Linked DNA regions of Drosophila melanogaster. The gene in region 1 interacts genetically with each later gene. Each region holds a gene or a part of one and is shown on either strand. Other genes may lie near its edges. The genes, in order: Taf6 and Dsor1.

Evidence for each region.
Region 2: of Taf6 (region 1) and Dsor1, changing one enhances a phenotype caused by changing the other (phenotypic enhancement), as found in Drosophila melanogaster (one study listed by BioGRID).

Annotation. Positions count from the first base shown.
Region 1 is NT_037436.4:19,596,768-19,600,687, reverse strand, and holds the start of Taf6 (TBP-associated factor 6), read right to left. Parts: upstream 1,601-3,920; 5' UTR 1,529-1,600; coding exon 644-1,528; intron 582-643; coding exon 412-581; intron 355-411; coding exon 1-354. Other genes in the region: ash1 (absent, small, or homeotic discs 1), read left to right, coding at 2,452-2,532, 2,595-3,920. UniProt on the Drosophila melanogaster protein: TFIID is a multimeric protein complex that plays a central role in mediating promoter responses to various activators and repressors.
Region 2 is NC_004354.4:9,245,122-9,249,041, reverse strand, and holds the start of Dsor1 (downstream of raf1), read right to left. Parts: upstream 1,701-3,920; 5' UTR 1,244-1,700; coding exon 1,134-1,243; intron 501-1,133; coding exon 1-500. Other genes in the region: amx (almondex), read left to right, coding at 1,981-2,835; Larp7 (La related protein 7), read right to left, coding at 3,319-3,920. UniProt on the Drosophila melanogaster protein: Required downstream of Raf in the sevenless (sev), torso (tor), and Drosophila EGF receptor homolog (DER) signal transduction pathways.

The DNA.
Region 1 (3,920 bases):
ACAATGCTTGAGGCGGGCGCATTTCGAACTTTGACTACTGCCTGGCACAGCGACGGCCCCAGGAAGCCAAAGTCGTTCTTGTAGTCCTCCGCTGTATCTGGCGCTGAGCGCATTTGCCTGAGAATCGGGGGACAGCACTTCTGAAGCATGGCGCGGATGTGACCTGCTGCTGTCTTGTCAGTGTTGCTGATGGAGGTGCCGAGCAGGTGAGGTTCAATGCGCTCCGATATGAACTTAAGGCGGGGTATGATGAAAACCTTTATGACTTCGCCCCCCAGCTCCGAGAGACCCGCAATAGAGCCGTAAAGCGAGGACAGGTGGGTCTTGTCGTTCTGCAGGGCCTTGCTGAAGATGCTGAAGGTTGGGAAATGGATGTTAAAAGGTTATTTAATTTAAGTGGATGTGATTTACCGGGTGACACGGGTTTGCAGATTGTTGGTTAGGGTATTGAAGTTCTTGCAGATTTGAGCCATCAGTCGGGAGGCAAAGTCTCGCAGGGCCCAGTGATTGTCCAGCTCGGGGCGCATACACAGCTGTTTGGACACAATGCACGTCATCACCGAGGGTATCAGTTCGTGGAGCTATGCGGAGACAACATCGTTTTTATGAGAAACAAAGAACAATACAATAAGAAATTTCTTACGTATTTCTCCAGAAACAGCGAAGGATTATCCAGAAGCGCACGAACCATGCGCATGAGGTAAATAAGCAACGCCAAGTTGTTCTGAACCACATTGACCTTAACTCCCTCGGCAATGAAGGTGCACATGCGGGGAAGCATTTCGTGCAGGCCAGGATCGGATCCCAGCGACTGCAGCGCTTCCCCGCGCCGCGGCTCATCAGATCCCACGCACGCCTCGGTGATCTCCTTGTAGTACAACTGCTGCTCCACGGACAACTCGTGCGTGGCCAGTTGCTTGACATGAATGGTCTCCACGTTTTTCAGCTTGTGTATCTTGCCGGTGGTGGGTTTGCCTGCCGCATCTTTGTTTAGGCCTTGATCCATCTTAATAACTGGATTGACCGAGTCCAGTAACTGGGAATCCTTCGAGAGCGGAGGGGGGTTTTCGGGCACAGTGGGTTGCACTCCCTCCACAACAAACCAATGGGAGCGCAGGGTGAGATCCAGGGGAATTTTTACAGAGTTGGTGGATGTGATTTCTCCTAGGTCGATTTCCTTGTCCTCGGTGAAGTGCAGCTCCCGTCCTCCGCCAGATGCGAAGCGGAATGGAATGAAGTCCTTGGCTACGAAACCGTACTGCGGCTCCACATTTCGCACCTTAAGGGACATGTCGATGTCCCGCACTGAGAGCTTCTGCCGCTTGGCGTGGTTCATGAACTTGGCCGCATCCTGTACAATCCTCTTCAGCTTGATGGACACATCCTCCGCTAGTTCCTTGGCGGCGTCATCCGACAGGGAGCCCACTCCGATGCTCTCCGCGATCACCTTCATGGACTCCGCCGAGATGCTGGAGCCGTACAGCATGCTGCTGGAGGGGCTGCTCGGTTTCGACGGTTTTCCACTCATTTCCCAGGTTTTTACAAATAAACAAATAATAATCGCCGAGCTGCTCGGCCAGTGTGCACACACCCAAAAGAGAAAATCTAGCTATTCTGGCTTTTTTGTTGTTTCATATCGTCTGCTATAATTAGTTTTATGGTCACCTAAAATTTTGCTATTTGCGAGTTCATGTAAGGAATATATTCCCATAACAAATATTTAGTTACAATAGTAAAAAAAATATAAGAATTCATTTTTAATTCATAAAAAATGTCATATTAATATTACTGGTTTCACATTGTTATACAATAATCGGCTTGTTTTTTTCCAGCTATTTTTGAATAGAATCCACTATTGTTCGCGATAGTTGCCTGCTAAATTCCGCCGCAAGGTCACACTGTCGCGTAGACATCACGTACACCCCAGCTGGGCACACTGAAACGCAGTCTTTTTCTTTATTTATGTTCGTAAATTTTTGGTTGCCTGGCTTTTTGTTGTTGCGCCACATTAACAATAACAATTGATGCGCCCCGCCACCGCCCACTAGTCGCGAAAAAAGTGAATTATCGGTACCGCGGATTAATGTGCCACATGCGAGAAGCGTTGCAACGTTGCGCCGTCGTCGGGCGTCGAACAAAGCAGTTTTTGGGAAAGTGAAAACGGCGCCATTTTAGAAGCAGGCAAGCCACGGCCTAAGGCTCAAGAAAAGTGCAAATGCAATGTGTGCAGCAATAGATTGTCATTTCGGCACAAACGAAACCGACTACTGAGGTCTACTACTAGCCCAGAAAACAATCAAGCGTAAGTGTGCTGTAGGTAATGGTTTTTTTTTTGGACGATGTCACCGCGGTTTGACCTACTTTAAAGGCGATTAAGAGTGCCACCAAATCGAATTAAAAACACTTGGCTAACAAAAGCGAACCTTTGCAGCTCCCCAGCGACTCCAAAATATGAGCTGTAGCCAAAATGAGACGGCAGCAGCAAAGGTTCTGGAAACGCAACGCGCACAAGAATCCGGCAGTGAAAATGAGGCAAGTCTTTAAAATGGCACCCTTTATGCAATGCTATATGTAAAGTGTGTTGTTCTCCTCAGGAAACCGATTCCATTACGGATCAATCGAGCCAGTCGAAGTCGATCAAGTCAGCCACCCAGTTTAGCGTGCAGCGTTCGGACACCGATGGACTGCGAATGAGAATCTCGGCCATCCGCCCCACGTTAGGAGTCGTAGCAACCAAGAAACCCCCAAAGTCCAGAAAAATGTCTACCCAGGACACCGAGTCCGGCTGCTCGGAGGCCAAAAATAGAGCGGTCAGCAAGAAAGTGAAGGTCAAGCGCAAGAAGCTGGCAAGTTCCAGTGGGATTAGTAAATCGGACAAAGTGTCTAAGTCTAAGAAGTCACAGATCTCGGCATTTTCCTCGGACTCAGAGGACGATCTGCCCTTGAAGGTGCATCAGCAGAGAGCTCCGCGAGTGCTGCTAAGTGCTATCATCCAGGCGGCACAGTCGGCCAGCAAACCCACCCTCGATATCGGAATCTCGTCCAGCGACAACGAGTTACCTAACCTGGTGCAGGCGGCTATCAAGCGAGTGGAGAGCGATACGGAGGACACAACTGTGGAAGGAAGTTTCCGCAAAGCGGCCAAGGACAAGAACCTACCCCAGTACCAGTCAACTTTGCTGCAAGACTTCATGGAGAAGACTCAGATGCTGGGGCAGACCGTCAATGCGAAGCTTGCGGAGGAGAAAGTGGCTAAAGCTAAGGAGGAGACCCTAGTCCAAACAGCTGTTCCTCGAAAGCGCAGAGGTAGACCCAAAAAAGTGGTTCCCACAGTTCCTGCCCCAGGAAACTCTGGCCCTGCTATAAACGAATCTGCCGATTCGGGTGTGATAAGCACCACTAGCACAACGCAGAGCACTACTCCCTCCCCGAAAATGCAAAATGAGAATGCTGTGCCGACGGGATCGCTGCCAATCGCCTCCAGCAGCAAGCCTAAGATCGACATGGCGTATCTGGACAAGCGAATGTATGCCACTGAGCGGGTGCTCTATCCACCGCCCAGGAGTAAGCGACGGCAGAACAATAAAAAGACAGCCTGCAGTTCATCCAACAAAGAGGAACTTCAGCTTGATCCGCTGTGGCGAGAGATCGACGTGAACAAGAAGTTTAGGCTGAGGAGTATGAGTGTGGGTGCGGCTAGTGGAACAGGAGCAAGCACCACTATTTGCAGTAAGGTCTTGGCCGCTAAGAGCGGTTACGTCTCGGATTACGGAAGCGTACGACATCAGCGGAGCAGCCACAACCACAACTCCGGTTACAAGTCCGATGCCAGCTGCAAGAGTCGATACAGCACCAAGAGTTGTATGAGTCGCAGGAGCAGGGCAAAGAGCTGCGGCTACCGGAGTGATTGCAAGGAATCT
Region 2 (3,920 bases), on another chromosome or scaffold:
CGTGATTGTCGCGCAGATAGCTCAAGCCCTTGAGCACCGCCAGCGTGATCCTGCCGAGAATGGACTCTGGTATTCGACCGGCCCGCTTGAGGATCAGGTCAAGTGATCCACCGTCCATATACTCCATGCAGATACTGATCTCGCCGTCGCTGTAGAAGGCGCCGTAGAAACCGACAATGTGCGGGAAATTACATTCGTGCAGGACTTTCAGTTCGCGCAGGATCTGTTTCTTGATCGCCGGCTTCACCTCCAGATGGATCAGTTTCCTGGCCATGATCAGGTGTGTGTGCGTGTGCCGGACCTTCATCACCACGCCGCCATTGCCCGATCCGAGCTCGCCCAGCTTCTCCAGATCCTCGTCGGACAGCTCGCCGATCTTCTCCTTCTGGCTGAGGAACATCTTGATCCGCTTGCGTTCCGTGTCGCCCATGTCCAGACCCTCCAGCGTCTCTGTCAGCGCATCGATGCTCGTCTTGGGCTTCCCCAGCAAACTGTGTGTGCTTTAATTTAACCTCTTAATGAATTTTTGCGATCCAAAACGAAAATGTAAAAAGTGCAAGCAATGGATGGGATTTGAAAGTGGGGGATGGGATGAGGGGCGGGCCGAAGTTTCTCCTAATAATAAGAAAACTACACAAACATACACATCAAATTACATATGTATTGTGTTATGTTATGTTGCCTACATTTTGGTGCTCACAAAAAAATATACGATAAAGGTAGGACTATTAAATTATAATTTCTATTTATCTTCGAAACTGACTTTGTCATCCCGTTAATTAATCCAAAAAGCACTAAAACAGTTTACTGTATTTACTCAGTAAGTTTTTTCTCGCTGTGTACCTGTGCGTCACACGAAAGGAGCACCACCCACACCAACAAACAAAGAGAGAGTACCTGCTCTTTCACTCCGACTGTCTCTTTCTTTCCAGCTGGATGGGATTTCCTTGGATCAATTGATGGATATTAATTACCCACCTAACTCGCAAAACTACAGGATTATCTTACCACTGAGTAGGAAACCGAAAACGAGGAGTGGAAGGGGAAACAGCGAGGGAGGGGGGATGCGGTGTTATTGGAATGGGTGGCCTAAAAACCAGTCAGTTATTAAGGATATTATGTATAATATTTACTCTGTGCCCGAGGGGGTTTTGAATGGCGGCGTCGGCGCCACTGTGGCGGCGGCAACAGTTGCCTCCGTATTTACCGGCGGCAGCACCAGATTCAGCTTGTTCTTCGACATCTTACTATATATAATATATATCTCTCGATACCGTTATCCGTTACCGATAAGTTAAAGCACACAACAATAACAACAACAAAAAAAAACTAATAAATGAAACAATACAAATAGAGAGTGTTCCAGTGGAAACAACAACAAAACGCACTACGAACAGCGGCGTCCGACGAACGGCTGAAGGGTGTGAGGGGCGAGGGGCGTCGGCGAGGGGGCGTGCGAAGGGAGGCCAAGTGCGAATGTTTCGTTTTGTGTGTCCAGCCGCTGGTAAATTTGCACCAATTCCTCGCGTTGCGCTTAACTTTAACACACCCGAACCGAGCACACGAACAGCAAACGGATAGTTAATATTATTTTTGCAATAATCAGCCAAAATCGGCGACTTTTGGGTTTTTTTCGCAGACGGTGCGGTATGGCCAGATGTCGCGATTACCAAATACCGTTAATACACTCCTACGACTAAAGCGGCCAATGGTCACAACTTAAATGGAAAGGATATTAGGATTAGATATTACTAATTTGTTACGATGAGGGGAGAGGTATACTTATCTGTTTAGCCAATTTAATTGAGCCAAAACATATCTATAAACTATTCGATACGCTTTTTAAAGAAATTTCTCCTGAGCATTCGCGGTTGATATTTTCATGCCACGCGTATACGGTCACACTCTCCCACCCCACTCATTTTCTTAAAGGGAAAAACAATAACATTTCCGGCGTATTCCCCGCTCTATCTGACCAAAATGAGGCTCCAACGACAGTGCATTGTGGTCAACATGCGATCGGCCATTGTCCTGATCATGATCTTCGTGCTGACGGGGATCAGGAACAGCGAAACGGCCAGCGGTGGCAACCAGATGGACTTATCGGACTCAAAAGGCGATCACAAGGATAACAGCAATGCGAGCAATGGCAATGGAAATGCCAACGATAACGAGGTGTATGTGCCGCCCCTGGTGTCCAGCATGGTGGCCAAGAGTGGAGGAGGTGCCGGTGGACTCCTGGACAACATAACCGCCTACAGCAGCAGCAGCAGTAGCAGTAGCAGCAATGGGAACAACAACATGCTATGCCCGTACGATAAGGAAACGCCCTGTGATCGCCTGCAGTTTCCCTGCATCCGTTGCAACTACAATCATGGATGCATCTACGGCCGGGACTTGAATGTAACCTGCGAGGTGATCAACAATGTCCAGTGCCTGGGCGAACGGAGTTTCCAGCGACAAATGAATTGCCGATACTGCTACCAAACGGAAATGTGGCAACAGAGCTGTGGCCAGCGCTCCAGTTGCAACTCGGCGACGGATAAGCTATTCCGTACCAACTGCACCGTGCACCATGATGTGCTCTGCCTCGGCAATCGATCCTTTACCCGCAACCTGCGATGCAACTGGACGCAGGGCTATCGGTGGAGCACAGCCCTGCTGATTAGCCTCACGCTAGGGGGCTTTGGAGCCGATCGATTCTACTTGGGCCACTGGCAGGAAGGGATTGGAAAGCTGTTCAGCTTTGGCGGCCTCGGCGTCTGGACCATCATCGATGTCCTGCTCATCTCGATGCATTATTTGGGGCCAGCGGATGGCTCACTTTACATATAGTTTAGTTTTACAGGGGTTAATAGGTCATAAGCTAACTTTTCCATTACAGTGTACATAATAACGAATGCAAATATGCAACCATTAGGAATAGCAAGATCTTCTCAAAAACGTGTACATAATTAATTAGGAAATGTATTTTATTAATAATGCCAAAAGTTCTTTTTTGTATCTTTTATCTAGCACAATTCTTTGATCGTATCAATAAATAAGTGAAAGAGAAAATATAACCATCTCTTTCTCGTTCCTGTAAGATCAGACAAATTTGTAAAAATAAATGGTTTGTTTCATTCAGAAGATTTATTTCAATTTCACTAGGAAGTTTCTTTTTTAAAAATTCAATTTGTTTTTACAATATTACTCTAATATTACGAAATCTTGTGCTAGATCTAAATGTATCTTTTGCTTACATTTATAAATTTATATAGCTTATATTATAGAGTTTCCTGAAATGAAATCCAAACTCACCCCTCAACTGAAAGTGACTCAGTCCATGGCGGCCGCCTGCACTTCATCATCGCCATCATCAAACTTAATGTGCTTGCCCAGCATTTTGCCCACTTTCTCGCGACCGCGTTTTTGCTGCACGCGCACCTTTTTCGAGAGTTTCGCCTCGCGATCCTGCTCGATTTTTCGCCAATAGAGCGTCTCCTGCTGGCCAGAGAGCACTTTCAGCTGCCTCTCGGAGCAGTTGACCTGGCGTAGCAGTTCCTCGGCTGCGGCAGGCGTGCCCAAACGTAGTAGGGCCACTTGGTCGCCCTCCTTAATATCCACATATTTAATATCCGGATATTGGCGCATTTCAGCCTTAAATTCTTTAACATTGGTGCATGGTTTTAGCAGGGAGCACTCCACAATCAGCCCGGGCTCGTATTTAAAGAGCGGCGTGCGTTCCTGCGAAGGTTCTTCGGATTTGGTGGATTCCACGCCGCCGGCGCCGTAGAAATTCATGTTCATCTTGTGCACCGCCTTGCGACGCTTGGCTGGCACAGGCGCTGCTTCTACGGCACCTTCACCGCCATCGCTAGGGACCTCGCCTCCGGTTTCCTCCTCTTTAACTGCCTCGGGCAGCTGTGAAGGTTTCGGAT